2 linked regions of the Macaca mulatta genome follow. The protein of the gene in region 1 purifies or fractionates together with the protein of each later gene. This does not show direct contact. Links are inferred from orthologs where the notes say so. Each region holds a gene or a part of one and is shown in the gene's direction. Other genes may lie near its edges.

What was found. Proteins that work in one complex are often made in the same cells at the same time.
Region 2: the proteins of MAX (region 1) and E2F6 purify together in Homo sapiens (affinity purification with mass spectrometry; 5 studies listed by BioGRID and IntAct, with this or other methods). This does not show direct contact. The link is inferred for Macaca mulatta from reciprocal best matches to the Homo sapiens genes MAX and E2F6.

What each region holds. Positions count from the first base shown.
Region 1 is NC_133412.1:138,199,660-138,203,951, reverse strand, and holds the start of MAX (protein max), read left to right. Parts: upstream 1-1,475; 5' UTR 1,476-1,647; coding exon 1,648-1,683; coding exon of another isoform or gene 1,684-1,887; intron 1,888-2,418; coding exon of another isoform or gene 2,419-2,445; intron 2,446-4,292. UniProt on the Homo sapiens protein: Transcription regulator. Forms a sequence-specific DNA-binding protein complex with MYC or MAD which recognizes the core sequence 5'-CAC[GA]TG-3'. The MYC:MAX complex is a transcriptional activator, whereas the MAD:MAX complex is a repressor.
Region 2 is NC_133418.1:113,370,401-113,374,805, forward strand, and holds the start of E2F6 (transcription factor E2F6), read left to right. Parts: upstream 1-1,496; 5' UTR 1,497-1,754; coding exon 1,755-1,862; intron 1,863-4,405. UniProt on the Homo sapiens protein: Inhibitor of E2F-dependent transcription. Binds DNA cooperatively with DP proteins through the E2 recognition site, 5'-TTTC[CG]CGC-3'. Has a preference for the 5'-TTTCCCGC-3' E2F recognition site.

The sequences.
Region 1 (4,292 bases):
GGAAAGGAAGGAAGGAAGGGAGGAAGGGAGGAAGGGAGGGAGGGAGGGAAAGACAACCGATATTAAAGGAAAAAAATGTAAAGGAAAAATTACCACATTTACATTTGTCTTTTCAGCATGGATGACACTCTCACGTTGAAAAATGCATGTCACAAGAATTGTGTGTGACATATCCCCAAATTTCCACATTCAAAAGTCAGGGATAATACGGTTTTCATCCGGGAATCAGTAACTCATGGGAAAAGCTCAAGATGTCATTCATTTTGGAGACCAGATGTAAAGGAGTAGTATGGGTACTTTGTCTCAAGGTGGAAAGTGCCTTTCTTATGTTTTTTTCCTTCCCATGGGACTTGTTGCATACTCTTAAAATGGCGGCAGGGCAGACACGTTTGCTTGCACAGCTGTGAGCTGCATGCATAAAAGCAGGGATGGTTTTGGCCTAAGGCAGGGATGGTTTTGGTCTTATCCGTTATGGCATCCCCTTGTGGCACATGTTAGGTGTTCAAAAAATATTGGTGGAATGGATGTGATTACACTTCATGCCACAGTATATAAATATGATTTTAACTGGACAGGGAACTGCACAAGTTTCCCATATTGATCCTTTTTGCGATCTTAATTATGGTACTCTGAGCTGGGATACTGCCTAGACTGCCTGGGCTACAACAAACTCTAAAGGGCTTTTACTTTCACGCCCACAGTGGTTGAGGGTTCGCGTTCTGTGAATGCTGGAACCTCACGCGAGTAGCTGAGTAGCGAGGATGGTCACTCCCGGATAAATGAATACAGGATTCTCGCGGCTGGGAGCGGTCGCCCGGCGAGGTCGGTCATCCTGCCTGTCCGGTAACACCACGAAACACCTGCCACTGATACCTCCCCACCAGCTCCCGAGGGTTCGCGCCGGCATCCCGAGCCGCACCCCCTGTTCCGCCGCAGCCGGATTCCCTCCAGGGCGGGTTACGCCCCTAGGCGCAAAACAGAACCACTTCGCATCAAGAAGACAAAGTATAACCAGTCACACCAAAAAGAGGCAGCATTATTTAGACAGCCGGCTACTCCCCCAGAGACTCCACCCAGTCCCCTGGGCCCGGCGTTCAGCGCGCCGACGGTGCCCGGCTCCAGGAGCTCCAGCTCCCTCCACGTGTCCTGTCTTCCCAGCAGCCTCCTCTGCCGCCTCTGGAGGAAAATCTCCTGACAACTCGCGGTCTGCGGACTACGACTCCCAGGAGGCGCCGCGCCGCGGCTCTCCCCGCCCCCTTTCCGGGACGCGCAGGCGCCCTGGGCTCCGTCTACCAGCCTGGCTGGCGACGCCTGGATGCGGTTTCTTCCGGGATTTGTAGTTTTTCTGGAGTTACCCGGGCCGTCTGTCAAAGGGACAAAAACTACAAGTCTCGGCTGCCCCAGCGCTGCGAGCTTGGTCACGTGGCGGGGGCCGACCGGGCGTGCGTGCCGCCGTTGATCCGGTGCTGCAGTGAGGAGGTGGTTCTTGCCCGTGTTGTGTGTGTGTGTGAGTGAGAGAGCGAGTGAGTGAGTGAGTGAGTGTGTGTGTGGGGGGACTCGGCTTGTTGTTGTCGGTGACTTCCCCCTCCCCTTCACCCCTTCCCCTCCCCGCCGCCGCTGCAGTGGCCGCTCCCTGGGCTGTAGGAAATGAGCGATAACGATGACATCGAGGTGGAGAGCGACGTGAGTCCTGGGGCTTCTTCCTTCCCGTGCGGGTTGTCAGGCGGGGACAGCGGCCGGGGCTCTCAGCGGGGCGACGGCGGGAGGGGGCCGGGCCGCCGCCGCCTCCTTCCCCTTCCCCTTTCCCTCGGGGCCAGGACTGCCTCCGTCGCGTTCCCGGCTCGCTCCCCTCCGGCTCCTGGCCGGAGCGGCCTCCTGGGACTGGAGGTGGGGGGAAGACACGCGGCTTCTGGGACTCCCACCTTCTCCCGTGGGGGAGGGTGCTGCGGCCTCCCGCTCCCACCTTCCCGGGCTCAGGATCCGGGGGACAAGGATGGGGGGCGCCCGGGATCCCATTGTCCGGATCCAGGGGAAGGGGACGGCGTTCAGGACCTGCCCCTTCGGAACGCGATCCTCTCCTCCCGTGACCCGCGGATCCTGGGGGGCGAGGAAGGGCGGAGAGGGGTTGGGGGTGCCTAGATGCCCGAGCTGGGTCTGCAGGGAGGAGACAGTGCTCGAGACCCCTCTGGCCCGGGTCGGATCCCGGAAGGAGGGGCGGCGCTCGGGACCCCTCTATCCCGCTACCGGATCCCGCCGAGGGTGGAAGGGTGGGGGCAAGGGGTGGGGAGGGAGGAAGGGGTGTCGGGCTGACTCCCCACCCTCCGCTTCCTCTGCCGCCGGCATTTTCTTTCTTATTATTGAATGTTAAGTGTAAAAATAACTTCTATATTTTCTATTTTTTTTTCTCTCCTATTCCAGGAAGAGCAACCGAGGTTTCAATCTGCGGTACGTCTCCTACTCTCCATTTCATTTTTATTTCCGTTCAGTTCTATTCCTTTTTGGGGTCAGAGAGAAAAAGAGATCGTACTGTTACTTTTAATATTGTAGTAAATCACTAATGTTAACCACTAAGGTGAGGTGGGGCCTGGTTCTGGAGGGTGGGGGAGTTGCAAATCCTATCATTCTAGATTCTCAGGTGATAAGTTCAGTAAGAGGAGCTGTATGCAAAGAATTGAATTGTTCTGTAGTTTTCAAATAGGGGATCCAGCTGCCGCTATGTAAGTGGAAATGAGAAATGCAGCATTCTGAAGTCAGTGGTAGTATTATTTCAGGGCAAAGTGGTCAGAAGATTTATTTAGGAACAAGTAGATTTTAAACCATATCTGTATAATTATGTGAAGCTGAAGCCACATGCAATAATCGCCTTTAACCAAGTCATGTGACTGCTCTAGACCTGTAGAATCTAGCACAATGTGGTATTCTAACACAAAAATTGGAAATGTAGAGGAGCCAAACGTTGCATCATCAAAGTGTCACATAAAGTTATTATGGTCTGATTCTCTGTATTTGAAGAAGAGGTATAAAGAAAATTAAAAAATAGCTGAAGAAAAGTGGCATTGCAGGAAGAGCTTTGCTGAAAGGTGATGGATGAGACCATATAATGTTATCAATAATTTCTTAGGGTTTTGATATTAATGTTCCCAGTAGATGGTTCTGTGGATTTAGATATGCACTAATTTCATGTCTTTGGAGTCTGAGACAGTAATATGGGTTTTTCATGAATAGATTAGAGGGGAAAAAAAGAAAACATATAGAATAAATCAGAATCAGAGGGGAAGAGAAATAAGTATATCAGAGTTCTAATATTTGAAATTGGGAACAGTAGGAAGTGTATAGAATGGGGGTAAAAAATTTGAATGCCCATGAGGGCCATAAATAATAAAGAAAGAAGAGGTGAGGACTTGGGTACTGGAGAGCAATGCCTCTCCTAAAAAGTCAGCCACTACTGAATTCCAGTGGTTTGTTATGTAGGAGTGAAGGGTCAGTATTGCCAGATCTTCCTATTTTTTATTTTATTTTATTTTATTTATTTATTTTTGAGATAGAGTCTCGCTCTGTCACCAGGCTGGAGTGCAATGGTGCTGTCTCGGCTCACTGCAACCTCCGCCTCCTGGGTTCAAGCGATTCTTCTGCCTCAGCCTCCTGAGTAGCTGGGACTACAGGCGCACACCCCCACATCCAGCTAATTTTTGTATTTTTAGTAGAGACGGGGTTTCACCTTGTTGGCCAGGCTGGTCTTGATCTCTTGACCTCGTGATCCGCCCACCTCGGCCTCCCAAAGTGCTGGAATTACAGGCGTGAGCCACCGCGCGCCCAGCTGATCTTCCTATTTTTTAAGAAAGATTAGAAATCCAAAGCGTTATGTTATTTTTCTGATTTTTAAAATGATGTGTGGAACAACTGTTTGGGCTTGTTAGAATTTGCAGGATGTCACTTTGATACCTCTGGTATAAGAACCTAATAACCACAGGATAAAGGCAAGCCATCTCAGTTGTACCTGCTCTTCATTAGAGCAAGCAAAGATTATGCAGGTTGTCTAAGCAAATAGGCATTAAGAAAACTTATTTATTGAGAGCTCGTATTTTCTTAAAATCCGGGGATGTAGTTGTTCCAGAAATCTTACAAATTATCCCTGGGTAATAGTCATTAAAGATAATTTATTTTGTTTTATTTATCCTTGAAGTATTCTCATATACTTATGCATATATTTGAAAATTGAATTTGTTTTTTTCGTTTACTTTTATCCTTCATGTTTGGGGCCTAGTCTGTTGAAAACTTTTTTTTTCCTGCAA
Region 2 (4,405 bases), on another chromosome or scaffold:
TCAAGCCTATAACTCCAGCACCTTGGGAGGTTGAGGCAGGAGGATTGCTTAAGGTAAGGAGTTCAAAAAATAATAATACATTTTAAAAAATTAGCCGGGCATAGTGGCATGCACCAGTACTCTTAGCTACGTGGGAGTCTTAACTGGGAGACCACTTGAGACCAGGAGTTTGATGCTACAGTGAATTATGACCATGCCACTGCCCTCCAGCCTGGGTAATGGGGAAAAAAAAAGATTAGAGACCTCTGACATCATAGTCTAGTGGGGAGCCAGCTTCTTCAGGGATTTCTCCCTACCTCACCTCGCCCACCTCAGGCTGTGTAGAAACCCCCAGTCTAACCGGTTGTTTCCCTCCAACTCTGTACACACCACGGTGTGTTACCTTTTTATTTCAAACATGTGCTGGCCTCTGTTCTAATCACAGCAACCTGTATCCATTAATCCATTTAATCCTCACAACAACCTTATCAGGTAAGTATTGTCATTATTCGCATTTTCCAAATAAGGAAACTGAGGCACAGGCAGATTAAGTAACTGGCTTAATAAGGTCTTCTGGTTTATAAGTAGGAGCCAGGATTTGAAAACACACCTCTGGCTCCAGCTTAATTAACATGCTCTGTTTACTTATCTGTCCCCACTGAAATTGGAGGTTGAACCTGTGGCATATCCAAATGAGTAAGTATCGCCTGTGCTCACCCCAATATCTGACACTATAGGTCCACGATAACTCATTCATCAAACAGGAAGGAGGGAGGAAGGAAGGAAGGAAGGAAGGCAGGAAGGAAGGAAGGCAGGAAGGAAGGAAAGAAGGCAGGCAGGCAGAAGTAAAACGATACCACAATGGTTTGGTTGCTCACATTTACTAAGCATCAACACTGACCCGCCTGTAAGATGTGCTAACAGAGCTCAGGAATAAATGAAGGCCGGGCGTGGTAGCTCATGCCTATAATCCCAGCACTTGGGAGGCCAAGGTGGGAGGATGGCTTGAGCCCCAGAGTTCAAGACCAGTCGGTGCAATATACTGAGACTCTGCCTCTACTAAAATTAAAATTAAAAATTAGCCGGGCGCAGTGGCGCGCGCCTGTAGTCCCAGCTACTTGGGAGGCTGAGGTGGGAGGATCGCTTGAGCCTAAGAATTCGAGGCTGCAGTGAGCCCTGACCACGCCACTGCACTCCAGCCTGGGCGACAAAAAAAAAAAAAATTAAAATTAAAAAAAGGAATAAATGAACATCTTTGCGGCTGAGAGCTTTCAGTTATCACCGTCGAGAATTCCAGGCGAGCGCTGCGTTTTCCCAGCTGCCTGTTTTCTCTCACCCCCGTTCCCTTCCTCTGGAATCCGGCTCCACCTCTTCCTTTTCCTTTGCCAGCCTCTCCGTGGATTCCGCGGTCCGGGTTTCCCGGGCGCCAGCCGCCGGGAGAGGATCAGTGCGTGGGAGCGCTCCGGCCGCGGCGGGCATGCGCAGAGGGGGGCGGTACACTGCGCATGCGGAAAAATGGCGGGCCGGGCTACTTGAGAGCCGCGGGTTTACCTCCTCCTTTCCCGTCTTCGTCGGGAGTTCCCGGGCACGTGAGGCAGTGCCGCGTTTGCTGGCGGGTGGGACGGCCTAGCCGGGCGGGGCCTTGGAGGACGCCGCGGATCCGTCAGTTTCTGGGCCCTTGGAAATCGGCGCGTGGGGGGCGGTGATCGAGCTGCGCGCGAGAGGGCGGGAGAGCTCGCGGGGTGCGAGGGGAGCGGGACGCCCGGCCGGGCAGCATGAGTCAGCAGCGGCCGGCGAGGAAGTTGCCCAGTCTCCTCCTGGACCCCGCGGAGGAGACGGTTCGCCGTCGGTGCCGAGACCCCATCAACGTGGAGGGACTGCTGGTAAGCTCCGGGACGGGAGGGGGACGGGCGGGGGTCTCCCAAAGCTGGCCCCCTCCTCCCCGCGCCGCCGCCAACCCCGCTGGCCGTCGTCTCGGTCGTCTGCTCCCCCTGGGCCAGGCGCTGCCCATCACGTGCTGCGAAACTGCGCTCTCCCGCCTTCTGCTTTCAGCATCTGTTCACAGACGTGGTGTCAGTCTTCTGGACTTTTACATCGGAACTTCAGGGCACTGTTGGAGAAAATTGCTCAACTTTGCATTGGAAAGGCCATGTTTTTCTCCTTCAGTGGACTCTAGCTGTATCTCTGCAACCTATCATTTGTTCTTCTACCTTCTCTCTCTTCTGCTCTACTGCAGCCGTTTAAAACCTTGTCCACGCTTTATATTTACCACGCCACAGCTCCCATTCATAAAATTATCTCCCCACCTGTTTGACGGAGAAAATGGTTAGGAGATTTGGCTCCCTTTCCCACAAAGACTGATTTCTTCTACTCTTGTTCTGGACCAGATACTGTATTCCCCGGTTCTCAAGGTCCTTAACAAATGCGTTCTTTTCCATTCCTCCCGTATTTTCTTTTTCTTTTTTTGAGATGGAGTTTTTACTCTTGTTCCCCAGGCTGGAGTGCAATGGCACGATCTCAGCTCACTGCAACCGCCGCCTCCCAGGTTCAAGCGATTCTTCTGCTTCAGCCTCCCATGTAGCTGGGATCACAGTCATGCGCCACCACACCCAGCTAATTTTGTATTTATAGTAGAGACGGGATTTCACCGTGTTGGCCAAGCTGGTCTCGAACTCCTGACGACCTCAGGTGATCCACCCGCCTCGGCCTCCCAAAGTGATGGGATTACAAGGCGTGAGCCACCGAGCCCGGCCTCTCCCCATATTTTCAATTTCTCTGCTGCTTTCTTCCTATAACTAGTAGTAATTAAACATTTTCCCAAGTCATTATGCCTGGTCCCCATACCAAATAGTTTGTGATTATTGTCTCATTTAATTTCTCACAGCAGTGTTTTATAATAGTAAAAGACTATTATTCTTGTTTTACGGTTGCCAAAACAGACCTGGAGATGCATGTAATGCCGGCTTGCCTGTGGCTAGATAGTAAGTGGAGAAACTTGGGTTGAACCTCCAAATGTCTAACTCCAGATGATAAATTCTTGACTACTAAAACCACATTCTCAATCCATCCCCATCTTAAAAGATCCCTCCCTTAATTCCATATCCCTTGCCATCTACTGTCTCTCTTCCCCTTCACAGCTAAACTTCTTGAAAAAGTTATTTACACTCACTCTTTCCACTTGATCGTCTCATTATCAGCCAACCCACTGCTGGGGACCCCTATCCTCAGCACACTTGTGAGACCATTCTAACCAGGGTCACCGACAATCTCGTCAATTCCAGCAGCTGTTGTAGTTTTGACACAAAACTACTTGTGTTGGAAACTCTCCCTTGAGTTTCCTTGACATTGATGTTCCATCTGCTTCTCTGGGCTCTCCTTGTCCTCATCCTCTTCCCAGTCCTTCATTTTTTTTTCCCCCGAGACAGGATCTCACTCTGTCACCCTGGCTGGAGTGCAGTGGCACATCCTGGCTCACTGCAGCCTTGACCTCCCAGGCTCAAGTGATTCTTCTGCCTCCACCTCTCTAGTAGCTGGGACCACAGGCACATGCCACAAGGCCTGGCTAATTTTTTTATTTTTAGATATGGAAGTCTTCCTGCGTGGCCCAGGCTGGTCTTGAACTCCTGGGCTCAAGCTGTCCTCTCACCTCAGTTTCCCAAAGTGCTGGGATTACAGGTGTGAGCCACCGTGGCTGGCCACATGTTGATGATATTCAGGGTTCTCTTCTGCTGTCTCTACACATTCTTCTTAGGGGAGTTCATTCTCTCCTCCCATGACTTATGTTACCGTCTACATTTGATCCTTGAACGACTCAGGGTTTGGGGCACCAAATCACATGAAATTCAAAATCTGAATATAACTTTGATTCCCCCAAAACTTTACTGTTTCCTGGAAGCCTTACTGATACTGTAAACAGTTGATTAACACATATTTTGTATTTACATGTATTAGTTAGTGTATTCTTATAATAAAGTAGCTAAAGAAAACGTTATTAAGAAAATCATAAATAAGAGAAAGTCCTACTCATTCAGGGGAATTAGATGATCGTAAAGGTCTTCATCCTTGTCTTCACACTGAGTAGGCTGATGAAGAGGAGTAAGAGGAGGAGTTGGTTTTGCTCTCTAAGTTGTGGCAGGGGGTAAAGAAAATTGGCATCTAAGTGGACCCACACAGTTCAAACCTGTGTTGTTTGAGGATCAGCTGTATATTGGTACCATCTGTATTGGTCGTCTTAATATTTGAGAATTTGATAAAAACTCTAAGCTCACTGTGGAAAAACCACTTAGTTTGCATGCAATATCAGCAGATACATCGCTTGAAATCTTAGACATACATTTCTGGTATTTTCAGTTACCATATCGTAATTCCCAAATCTATAAATCTCCCTCAGGGTTTTCCAGCTGTCTACTAGACCTTCCTACTTAGG